2 linked regions of the Saccharomyces cerevisiae S288C genome follow. The protein of the gene in region 2 interacts with the protein of the main gene of each other region in a pairwise test. Each region holds a gene or a part of one and is shown on either strand. Other genes may lie near its edges.

Region 1 (4,010 bases), on a different chromosome or scaffold from region 2:
CCTTTATACGAATCCTCAGCAAGTTCTGAGGTTGATCAAGGGTTTAATTATGTTGGCCAACGTCACAATTCCCGAGCTGACAACAATCTTTTACCAAGCCCTAGTCCGCAGTTGACAGAAGATATAAAATGTCTTTCAATAAATGGTACCAAAACATTCGAAGGCAATAATGATAATCTGCCATCTCCTGCTAGCGAAGAGTTAGAATTTGGATTCAAAGAAGAAGATTTTGTCATAAATACTAATGACATAGTGGTCTCCAATATAAGAATGGGCGGAGTAGACAATTCATATTATCTACGGTGTTACAGATTACTGGGAGATTACGACTTTCATTGGATTGACCAGGACTTACTCACAGACTTCGTTGTAGACGAGTTAGGTCTTCCTGAAGATAGATTACCTGCATATTTGAATTTTATTAAAAATTCTCTTATACCAAAAATTGAACCAGCTGAGCCAACCTACTCAGATATTCCGATTTCTGATTCGAGTGATGAAGGTGACAGCTATGAAGGCGACAGCTATGAAGATGATGAAGATATGGCCTCCTCGGTTGTGCATAGCGACATTGAAGAGGGTCTGGACGACCTAATTGCATACACATTGAAACATGATACAGAAAGATTCAAAACATTTGAAACCAAGTCCTTGGAAACTAAGGGTAAAGGTAAGAAGAAGAAGCTACTCATCGATGACGCCTTAGCGCTGGATACAGAAACGTTGGAGACGTTACAAAGTAAGTTTAGTAAACGCATAGAAACCAAAGCAAAGAAAAGAAAAGCCAAAGAAGATTTCATTGATCAGGAGAATAGAAATTCGAACGATATGCTCAAGAAATACCCATATGGACTCCATATTCAAAATATTAAAGATGAATTTGAGTCCTTTTTGTCTAGGAACAATGATAGACTGACTTTCCCTCCATTAGATCCTCATGGAAACAAGACCGTAATGAAAATTGCGAAGCATTATAATATGAAGAGTTCAAAAATTGGGAAAGCAAATCATACGTCGGTTGTTGTAGAAAAAATAAAGAAAACGAAATGGTCTTCTCCGAATTATAGTCTCATTGACCAATTGATGAGGCAGAGGCCAGTATTCATGAGAATAGATATAAGAAGACCGAGGGAGGAACAAGCTGCTTTCGAAAGAACTAAAACAATCAGAGGGAAATTTCATGTTAAAGAAGGTGAGATTGTTGGTCAAAACGCTCCAGAGATTGGAAACGAAAATATCGGTAGAAGAATGTTGGAAAAGCTTGGGTGGAAAAGTGGAGAGGGCCTTGGTATTCAAGGCAATAAAGGTATAAGTGAACCAATTTTTGCCAAAATTAAAAAGAATAGATCGGGTTTAAGACACAGTGAAAGTTAATATTTTCCAAGCTTTTAATCCTCATTTTCTTAACAATTGCGTATATACATATTTTTTTATTTTCTAGACTAGACCATGAAAAATCTATGGTAATATACACATACGGAGTTTTAGGTACAACTTCTCGTTACATATCCAATTCAATTATCGTAACTGTAAATAACATCTTCTTGTGAAAATTCGCGTTGCGCGACGTGAGGCGTTAGGCAATTTTTTGTGGAACGTTTATAGTAATAAAACAACTAATAACGTTAACGTTCCTCGGGAAGAAATCTACACATACAAAAAATAATCACTAGTAAATAGTGACAGGTCTTTTGTACATCATGACTGATTTCGATTTAATGAATTTTCCATTTCATGAGCGTTTGGATTCTCCTGTATCAGAGAATGGGGAAATTAAAGACGGAGAGCCAATCCCACAAAACTGGCTAAATGAAAATCATGTCGGAAAATCCATCTTACCTTTATTCGTTAACCCTGAAGATGTCATCAATTGCAACTTTTCCAATGCTAGAGACTCATATGAAGAGAACAAATCACCATCTATGGATCAAATGAATTATGCTAGAAATACTAGTTATCAGGAATCTCCAGGATTACAAGAACGACCAAAAAACGAAAAAGATAAGTCTCCCATAGGTACTGATGTTCATAAAAAGGATGTACCCAATTTCATACACTCTACTCCTAGAGAAAACTCTTCGAAGCATTTTACGAGGGCAAATGAACAGGCTTCTGCTCAACCAACTGATGAACATACATCGCCAGATATCTCGATAGAAGACTGTAACGGTGCCAAAATTTTTCTACAAAACTCCTTATCGAAAGAGGATTTTCGAATGTTAGAAAATGTGATACTGGGGTATCAAAAAAAAGTTATTGAATTGGGTAGAGATAATCTAAGACAAGAGGAAAGAGCAAACTCTTTACAAAAGGAGCTCGAAGCAGCTACGAAGTCAAACGACAAAACCTTAGATAACAAAAAAAAAATTGAAGAACAGACAGTATTGATTGAAAACCTAACAAAGGACCTTTCGCTGAATAAAGAAATGTTGGAAAAAGCCAATGATACTATTCAGACAAAACACACTGCATTACTAAGTCTCACTGACTCCTTAAGAAAGGCCGAGCTGTTTGAAATACCGATTGGTATATTGTTTTTCGATTTGTATGACTCGGAGGAAAATTCTTCAAAATTAGATCACATATTACAAGAAAAATATCCTAATATTAAAGGGTTTTTATGTGCATCACAGCAAGAAGAGCTGAGCCGCATTTCTCAGCGATTTAAAAATGCAAAAGCAGAAGCTGAGGATCTCCGAAATGAGTTAGAGAATAAAAAAATTGAAATCCAGACCATGAGAGAAAAAAATAATACTTTAATTGGTACAAATAAAACCCTTTCCAAACAGAACAAAATACTATGTGATAAATTTGACAAGTTGACAATCGATGAGAAGGAAATTTTGAAAGGATGTAATGAGGAAATAAAAATTAAGCTGGAAAGGTTGAATGAAAGACTAGGATCATGGGAAAAAAGCAAAGAAAAATACGAAACATCATTGAAGGATAAAGAAAAAATGCTAGCAGATGCTGAAAAGAAAACAAACACTCTATCAAAGGAACTGGATAATTTGAGGTCGCGATTTGGAAACTTAGAGGGAAATACTTCTGAAAGGATTACAATAAAAAATATCTTACAGTCAAGGCCCGATATTTCGGCAGAAGAATGTAATTTCCTTATGGTTGAACAAATTGATTCAGCAAATTTGACGACTTTACAAAATACTGTCAAAGAAATTGTTTTGGCTGTTGGTATTCCTTATCCAAAGTTAAGGCGAAAGATTCCGTTGCTGGCTATCAAATTGAAATATGAAAACATCATGCTGTCCAATTTTGCTCAACGTCTGCATAGACAAGTATATAGTCAAGAAATGAATCTAAAGAAATTTACGGATCAAGCATACTATGATTTTATGTCAACGCGCAGGATGGATTCCATAGATCACCATTTGGAGAGGTGTCTGGACCATCTGTATGATCATATCCTGGAGAAGATGGTGAAGTAATTTTTATTAACGGAGTCAATAGATAAATTGTTGTAATTGTAACTAAAAATTAAGGTATAAGATTAAATTATATTCTAGGAAGTATGTATAAAATATTCATTTGTTGTAAAATTGGAGGGCTTAAGCGGCCAACATTTTATGTTTACACTTTTTCTTGTTTTAAGAATAGAAAAAAAATATACGTGAAAAAAATTTGAAGTCATCGCAAAGTAGCTCTTTTTACATAGTAAAAGTCTGACCAGCCAAGAGTTAATATCAGTATAGTGATATCCTACTACTTCAAAAATAACGGATGAAGACCTGCTACTATGAGCTTTTAGGGGTCGAAACGCATGCTTCTGATCTTGAGTTAAAAAAAGCTTACCGTAAAAAGGCCCTACAATATCACCCAGATAAAAACCCAGATAATGTTGAAGAAGCCACACAAAAATTTGCTGTGATTCGAGCCGCTTATGAAGTACTGTCTGACCCCCAGGAAAGAGCATGGTATGACTCACATAAGGAACAAATTTTAAATGATACTCCACCAAGCACTGATGATTACTATGATTATGAGGTAGACGC
Region 2 (8,950 bases):
AAATGAAATCAGCTTAGGTGAGTCGCCACCCGTGAAACATGTTGCAACTGCAAGTTCTGTAGCGCGAAGTTCTGTTAAACCAAAATTTTGGAAGTTTTTTTCATCTGCAAAGCCACAGACCGAGCAATCTATACAAGGTGTCAGTACAAATAATACAAATTCCATCGTTAAAAGTGCCCCAGTTTTGCTTTCTGCTCCCTCATCTGGTAGTAATTCCGGCCGTTTAGAAATTTCACCACCTGTGCTACAAAATCCTAATGAATTTAGTGACGTTAGATTAGTACCTATCGAGAACGATGCAAATATGGGACAAAGTAAAGATGGAGAAGAATATTTGGATGGAAGCAATTTGTATGGTTCAAGTCTCGTTGCTAGGTGCAATTATGAAAACAATGAAATACCGATGATACTATCTGTCTGCATAGATTTTATTGAATCAGACGAAGAAAATATGAGATCGGAGGGCATTTATAGAAAATCAGGTTCCCAGCTAGTCATAGAAGAAATAGAAAAGCAATTTTCTGCATGGAAAGTACAACAAAATACCGAAACGCCAAATATTTTAACGGAACAAGATCTCAACGTTGTTACTGGTGTGTTGAAGCGATACTTAAGAAAGCTCCCCAACCCTATCTTTACCTTTCAAATATACGAGCCGTTGATGAGGTTAGTTAAATCTAAAAAAATGATGGAAAACTTGCCATTTGTTGGAGGAAAGTTGTCCTTAGAAGCAAAGAATTCGGACACTTATATGTCGAGCAAGAGCGCTTTAAAAAACATATTGGAAGACCTTCCAAGGGAACATTATAGGGTGTTAAGAGTACTGAGTGAACATATAGAAAAGGTTACACGGTACAGTCACTGGAATCGAATGACGCTTTATAATTTGGCTTTAGTTTTTGCTCCAGGTTTGATTCGTGATTTCAGTGGAGAAAAGGATATTATTGATATGAAAGAAAGAAACTATATTGTCGCATTTATATTTGGGAACTACAAAGATATCCTGACGTAGCGCTATCCTCGGTTCTGCATTGAGCCGCCTTATATGAACTGTATCGAAACGTTATTTTTTTAATCGCAGACTTAAGCAGGTAATTATTCCTTGCTTCTTGTTACTGGATATGTATGTATGTATAATAAGTGATCTTATGTATGAAATTCTTAAAAAAGGACACCTGTAAGCGTTGATTTCTATGTATGAAGTCCACATTTGATGTAATCATAACAAAGCCTAAAAAATAGGTATATCATTTTATAATTATTTGCTGTACAAGTATATCAATAAACTTATATATTACTTGTTTTCTAGATAAGCTTCGTAACCGACAGTTTCTAACTTTTGTGCTTTGACAAGAACTTCTTCTTCTTGCTTTAATAAAAACTGTTCCATTTTCGTTGTATAACTTGAATCATAAGCGCCAAGCAGTCTGACAGCCAACAGCGCAGCGTTCGTACTATTATTAATAGCGACGGTAGCTACTGGAACACCTCTAGGCATTTGCACAATTGAATGTAAAGAATCTACTCCATCTAGACAAGAACCTTTTACGGGCACACCGATGACAGGAAGTGGTGTCATTGCAGCCACCATACCTGGCAAGTGAGCAGCCCCACCAGCTCCAGCGATAATTGTTTTAATTCCACGCTTGCTTGCGGAAATAGCATATGCTGACATCCTATGTGGAGTTCTATGAGCAGAGACTATTGTCACTTCAAATGGAACGCCAAAATCTTTTAAAACCGCACATGCGGCAGACATTACCGGCAAGTCAGAGTCTGATCCCATGATGATTCCAACCAATGGTTTGACCATTGCTTCCAAGTCCAACTTTTGAGCGACAGAGATTTTGATTGGAATATCAGTTCTACCTGTAATGTAGTTCAGCCTTTGTTCACATTCCGCCATACTGGAGGCAATAATATTTATGTGACCTACTTTTCTGTTAGGTCTAGACTCTTTTCCATATAAGTACACTGAGGAACCTGGAGTCGCCAATGCTCTTTCGCAAGTTTCTAGCTCTTTATCTTTTGTATGTTTGTCTCCAAGAACATTTAGCATAATGGCGTTCGTTGTAATGGTGGAGAAAGATGTGAAATTCTTTGGCATTGGCAAATCCAATATTGATCTCAAATGAGCTTCAAATTGAGAAGTGACGCAAGCATCAATGGTATAATGTCCAGAGTTGTGAGGCCTTGGGGCAATTTCGTTAATAAGCAATTCCCCTGTTTCTAAATAGAACATTTCCACACCAAATATACCACAACCGGGAAAAGATTTGATTGCATTTTCTGCCAACAACTTCGCCTTAAGTTGAACGGAGTCCGGAACTCTAGCAGGCGCATAACATAAGTCACAAATATTGTCCTTGTGGATAGTCTCTACAATTGGGTAAGAAAACACTAAACCGTTAACAGATCTCACAATCATGACTGCTAATTCTTTAGTAAATGGTGCCCATTTTTCGGCGTACAAAGGACGATCCTTCAGTACTTCCAAAGCTTCCGGAATCATTTCCTTATTCTTTACAACGAAGTTACCTCTTCCATCGTATGCCAAAGTCCTCGACTTCAAGACGAATGGAAAACCCAAATCTCTTCCAACATTCAATAGGGACGTCTCACTGGCTTGTTCCACAGGAACACTTTGGGTAACTGCTATACCATTTTTGATTAAATGCTCTTTTTGAATATATTTGTCTTGTATCAATCTGATTGTTTCTGGAGAAGGGTAAATTTTTAATTTGGGATGTTTTACTTGAAGATTCTTTAGTGTAGGAACATCAACATGCTCAATCTCAATCGTTAGCACATCACATTTTTCAGCTAGTTTTTCGATATCAAGAGGATTGGAAAAGGAGCCATTAACGTGGTCATTGGAGTTGCTTATTTGTTTGGCAGGAGAATTTTCAGCATCTAGTATTACCGTCTTAATGTTGAGCCTGTTTGCTGCCTCAACAATCATACGTCCCAATTGTCCCCCTCCTAATATACCAACTGTTCTAGAATCCATACTTGATTGTTTTGTCCGATTTTCTTGTTTTTCTTGATTGTTATAGTAGGATGTACTTAGAAGAGAGATCCAACGATTTTACGCACCAATTTATACATGAAATGCTCCATAATATTGTCCATTTAGTTCTTAATAAAAGGTCAGCAAGAGTCAATCACTTAGTATTACCCGGTTCGTAGCCATGCAACAAGAGTCATTTGTCAGCATAGCTGTAATAATCAATCATGACGTAAGAAATGTATCATAATTAAAAGTTGTTAAAGATGTCAGTGTTATGTTGGTGTTACAAAATTCTCGGCTTCTCACTAATATTTAATATCTCTTAAATTTTATCTGTCTTTGATTCTTTTAAGAAAAGTTATGTATTATTCAAGAAAAAGTCAATTCCGCATCAAAAGGTAAAATTTATATAAACTGCTTTAAAATTTCATGAAACTAGGCAACTTTTCGAAATGATCTTTTTCGAGCATGAAGTTTCTTTTATAATAACCTGGTCAAAAGCTTTCAATATATAATACATTTGGTATTTACGGAAATGAGATGATATACTGGTAGTGCGCTAGTCAAGTTCTAATTAAATTAAAATGCAAAATAGTAATGTCAGATGGACACATTGGGCGAAATAGCTAACCCATAAGCATGAATCCTGTAACTTATGTAATACGTTAATCACGATACGGCGTTACTAGTCTTCCTTTTGAGTGGTTTCTAATGTAGATTCTTGTTGTTCGTTAATTTGCTTCAAGCCGTTTAGCATTCCTGATTCGTTTGAAGATAGAGGAACAGATGCGCCAGCGAAAGATGATGATGCAATGGTAGAGGAAGTGTTGGTCGAATCTCCCTTTTTGGAAATAAAGTGTCGTTTTGATTCTAGATAGGCTTCTCGCAATTGATTGTGGAGATACTTCTTTAAAAGGGCCATACCTATGGGATGACATTCTAACCTATAGAGTAATTTCGTAATAGCATAGCAGATTTTTGACGCCCTTCTTTCTAGTAGAGGAGAAGCCCTTAGCTTGGGTGAGATGACTGAGGATGCGTTTGTAAATTCGGGATAATTGGAATTTCCAGTACCCTGCCCATTACCTCCCAGAATCCTTATATTAGGGCGTGTACTCAGTTGTAAAAACTGTCTCAATGAAGAAGATTGAGCAATTCTGGTCAAATACGTTCTTCTCCTGGACAGAGATTTTGTGAAGGGCAAATCCTGCCCACTTTCTTTTGTAATAAATGTGAGGAAAAACGCCAAGATATCAAAACTGTAAATTTGAGTAAAAAGATCTATTGCTGATACTATAACACCGTGGGGATCTTTTTCGATGCCCATATAGCTGTTAAAATTATCGAAACCCTGACGCACTTCGCTTTCAAAACTCCACCTAGAAATATTATCACCGTGTAACTGAGCTGTGGGTAATATTTTGAACGGAGAATAGTTCAAACAAGCGTTTAAAAACTTCTCAATGTTTGTCCTGCTTACCGATACCATGCGAAACAGCTCTTTAACAATGTCCAATATTTGGCTTAATTGGGAATATATTTGCTCTGTGGAAAATAACTGGCATGTGTTTCCTAAGCTAAATAAACAATTATCCAAGTTAGACAATAGTTCAATACTATGCAGTGTAAAATAATCAAAGAACTCCGGGAAAATGAAAAAATCTTTATAAAACATGATATATTCATCTTTTAGTGCTATATTAGGTGGAATTTCTCGTCTTTTCAAAGCGTCCAGAAGGTTTTCCAACTGAAGAACATTCAGCCTTCTCAAAACGCTCATGATAGTATCACTATCATGATATTCGTCGATAAGAAGAGAAAAGAGCTTCTGGCCCAAGTTTACCTGACTTTCGTTGACTGCGTTGGTTGAGAAATGAGGCCTATTGAATATCTTTCTCAAAGGGTTAGGCCCAATCTTCACTTCTGCCACTGTATCTGGCTTTTCTTTTTCTGGACTATTATTTTCATAAAACACTCCCTCATCCACATCGTAGTAATAATCCCAGATATCTAACTGGTATCGGAAAATTGGATTGGCAGTTCCGATAATTGCAAAGCATCCGACAAAATCACTATTCGATGCTACATACGCCCGCAAACCGTCAACAAGAGAAATGTCCATATAGGGAAAAATCAACGCAGCATTTCCTTTGAAGTATGATTGTGGATCGCTAGCATAAGTTGCCGTTATGTTGGCTAATGACAAAATAAAAGCGCATAGGTCTTCTTTACTCAGTTTAGTTGAATTGATGACTAACTTCCATGCATTAACTTTTTGTCCGGCTTTAAGAAGGTAAGGGACAAATTTATCCAAAAATTTTAAAACTAGTTCATTATAATCATTTTCAATATAAATAGGCTCTCTTCTAATCATATTAAATTGCAATGGGATTTTTAACAAAAATGGCGGGAGCGTCTTTGGCTGAAATCTTGTAAAATGATATTGAATGAGTTGGTCATGAAAAGTCACAATGTTACCATACTTGTCCTTAGTGTCAAATCCATTGATGCAAAAGAGTTTCTTTAAAGTGGAATCCGGGTCTAAAAATACTTTGGTAATGATAGATTCGTCATGGATAGAGTGTAGCACTTCTTGTATACTACTTTTGGAATGTATGTCATTAATCAATGTAAGGTCAATACTGTTTAGCATATTAAAGCAATCAAGCAGTATGTCTGTAGCAGCAGCTTGAGTGGGAGCTTTCATATACAAGTCTAACACTAATACAATAATATTTTTGAATGCAAAGAAGGTTTTTAATGGTGTTCCGATGGCAATCGACTTGATTACTGCCCCTCTATCGTTCGTGGTGTCTAATACTGTGTTGGCGACATTTATGAAAAATAAAGGTTCGTTGTCGATGGCTTTCTGATTATTCTGAACTTCCTGGCATTCGAGCTCATCATCTTCCAAGACAATAGTGTATCTATTATTTTTTGCATCTTGATGATTTTCGGCATCGTAATATATGCTATTGGTAACACTACCATCTGACTGTTCACGATGATGCAGATTGAAACTGAAACGAGGGTCTTTTGGCACAGGAAAGAGTTGATAGTTTTGAGTAAACTTATTGTAATAAAGGGTAAACACTGTAATATCTTGTTTGCCGGGATTTCTCTCTATGCTACTCGGTATCATTAAACTTGCCAAGTTCATAGACACCGACGTATTGCCGTTGCGTTGCTCATGTGAGAACTGATTGAAACCTGGAATATCTTTCGGGTATTGGTGCTTCAAAATAGGACCTAATTTATTATCAAATTCTGCGGATATTATATAGCTGACATTCGGCCTTTCAAAAGGAAAGGATTCATTTTCTATCGACCTGTTGCTGATAGAGTTATTTAGTTCTCTTCGCAACATCCGGTAGCCAAAAATGTTTGCGTACCAAAGACTCTAACAGTGGGCGGTACTATGCTTGATCTTGATTTTATAGAGCTTGCACTTTTATAGAAGAACCATTGCTACCTAGACAGTTTTTTTTGTTTACATTCGAATCATTTTTTTTTTTGCATTTAGTTAAATCCGAAGTCCTGACTAGATAATTTACTGTCAGAGAATAGTAGCATCTATGCAAGAAACTGGTATACAATAGTCGAGAGGTTGTTGTAAAAAACACAAAATACTAACACAAAGCCTGGCTGTTGAGATTGTGCGACATTCTTGATCAGTAAATGGTATTACAGACTGTCTATCAATGTTACATACTTGCTTATTACACGATTTATTGTATTTAAAGTGCAGAAAGAGTCTCAAAGATGTAAAAAACTGCAGCGTTTGCTGGTACTGCCCTAAAAAGGGTTATACCCAGTCCTCGATAAAAACCCTTTAGTCCAAATTTGCCAAATATCTTCTTCACCGCATTGGTGAGGCTTATATGTTCAGTTTGCATTACTGATTTCACAGTATCCGCAGGAAAAATACTGGCGTTGAATGCCAATCCAGCGCTCCCTCCACTAATAAGTAGTTCCCATATCTTACTTTCATCTCTTTTTGGGTCATCAAGGGAGTGCCTATCTTTCAACGACTTCTTAACTATTTCGTAGGTTGCAAACCAGGCAACACCACCGAAGCTTTCTCGAATAAAAGTGCCCGATTGCCCTTGCCACAATCCTGCCAATCCTCTCTCAGTTATAATTGCTTTTATTGTAGGCAACACCTTTGTATGTTTCGTTTTAGCTGATGCAACTTGTAAGTTCGCAACCTGCAACTTACACTTCACCAGCTCCACGGGTGTCAAAACTAAACTAGCACATGAACCCGCTACTCCACCAGAGATCAGGATTTGCCCCAACGGGGAAACGTTTGTATGTTTTTCTAAAAATTTAGAACATTGGTTATAAGACACAAATAATGTCGCGTTCTCCAGACATGCTCCAACTAAAGGTGAAGCAATGCCTTGAAAAAACCCTCGTGCTATTCCTTCATTTTGGTAAGTAAATTTTATACAAGACCATGTTGTTGGGAACACGTTGGATGCTTGTGTTTGCAACCTGACTTTCACAGTATCGAAAGGAAACTCGATCACCTTACCACAGGCGCCTGCAATGGAACCGTTTATTATATCGAGTATAGCGCCTTCTATTAATCCTTTCTTTTTACTGTCCTCCATTATACGTTGACCTTCCAGAATTTGAGTTCCCTATAGGTTAAAGAAAAGTTTCTACGACAAAGCATCTACGCTTTAACAATTAACTATACCCGTGCTTCGATAATTTCACACTTTTCTGAATCTATCGACGCCAGGAGCAGAGAACTTATCATTGGCGATTCTTGACGCTGCGGCCACAGCGGCCACAGCGGAAAACGTATATGTCACATTTTTCGAGCTCAAGGTGAGTCACGATGCAGAACTGGAACGTACTAGGACTAAGTTGCAACGATGAAACTACAATGCTACGCTTTCTTCGTGCTAAGTACTCATTGTATCCATTAATATGGTCCACAAAAAGGGTAGGCTGCTGTTGTGCTTCATTAAGACTGGTCAAAAACACGGATCCAGCAGCAACAGCACCTGCATGGATGGAATAGGATTGGTGCTAAATCACTTGGAATTAAACACAAGGATTTTGGTCGGCAATATTATATAAATATAGTCAGATGAGTGCTTCATTTTTGTTGATAAGTATTAATGAAGATTAAGTGTGGATAATACTGTCTTTGATACTATACATTTAATGTGACGAATTGTATGACTCGTATACATAACTACCAAAGCGTAGATCTTTAACTTATTTTCAGCACTGTCCGAAATGCTCAGTTAGCAGTTTAGTACATTCACGTTAAAACGTGTATGTTCGAATAAAAATCAACTCACTCATCGACTGATATTCATACTACTGGTATATTGTCATACGGTGTAAGAAGATGACATAAAATCGAAAAACAATGGTAAAGTATAATGGCAACTGAAATGCAAGGATTTGATAACGTCATAAAATGATGAAAAATATAAAATGGAGGGAGAAGTAACAGGTACGTAGAAATATTGGTTCCCTTTATGGATCCCTATATCATCGTGCAGAACTTCTCGTATATTCGATATACCTAAATTATAGCCCTTAACAATAATGAAATCCTAACGATTATCCCGAAAATTCACCTATTTCTCAGTATATGAAATGTACATTAACGTAAACACTCATCTTGCTACCATCATTATTTATATTGACATTAATGATCACTTGCTGCAACATTTTTTTATTTTTTCAAATCATATGAAACAAGTATTAATAAAAACACCGTTAACCCAACAATTAAAATCCGTGATAGTTTAATGGTCAGAATGGGCGCTTGTCGCGTGCCAGATCGGGGTTCAATTCCCCGTCGCGGAGATTTTTTTGCTGATTTGATGTGTTCTCGAACTTTGTGATGCCGAAAAAATCAAGGTAATTCCGCCATAGCTACTATATTAGCTCTAAAAAACATCTAAGAAT

The links. Proteins that work in one complex are often made in the same cells at the same time.
Region 1: the proteins of AFI1 (region 2) and CNM67 interact in a two-hybrid assay, tested with the Saccharomyces cerevisiae proteins (2 studies listed by BioGRID).

What each region holds. Positions count from the first base shown.
Region 1 is NC_001146.8:222,160-226,169, reverse strand, and holds CNM67 (Cnm67p), read left to right. Parts: upstream 1-1,700; coding exon 1,701-3,446; downstream 3,447-4,010. Other genes in the region: SQS1 (Sqs1p), read left to right, coding at 1-1,374; JJJ1 (Jjj1p), read left to right, coding at 3,739-4,010. UniProt on the Saccharomyces cerevisiae protein: Involved in the pathway that organizes the shaping and sizing of the prospore membrane (PSM) during sporulation. Required for the proper formation of the spindle pole body (SPB) outer plaque.
Region 2 is NC_001147.6:563,182-572,131, forward strand, and holds AFI1 (Afi1p), read right to left. Parts: upstream 6,378-8,950; coding exon 3,696-6,377; downstream 1-3,695. Other genes in the region: GTPase-activating protein RGA1, read left to right, coding at 1-1,012; phosphoribosylaminoimidazole carboxylase ADE2, read right to left, coding at 1,295-3,010; ORT1 (Ort1p), read right to left, coding at 6,748-7,626. UniProt on the Saccharomyces cerevisiae protein: Involved in actin patch polarization. Required for maintaining a proper budding pattern in yeast cells. Required for proper polarized localization of the ADP-ribosylation factor ARF3 at the plasma membrane.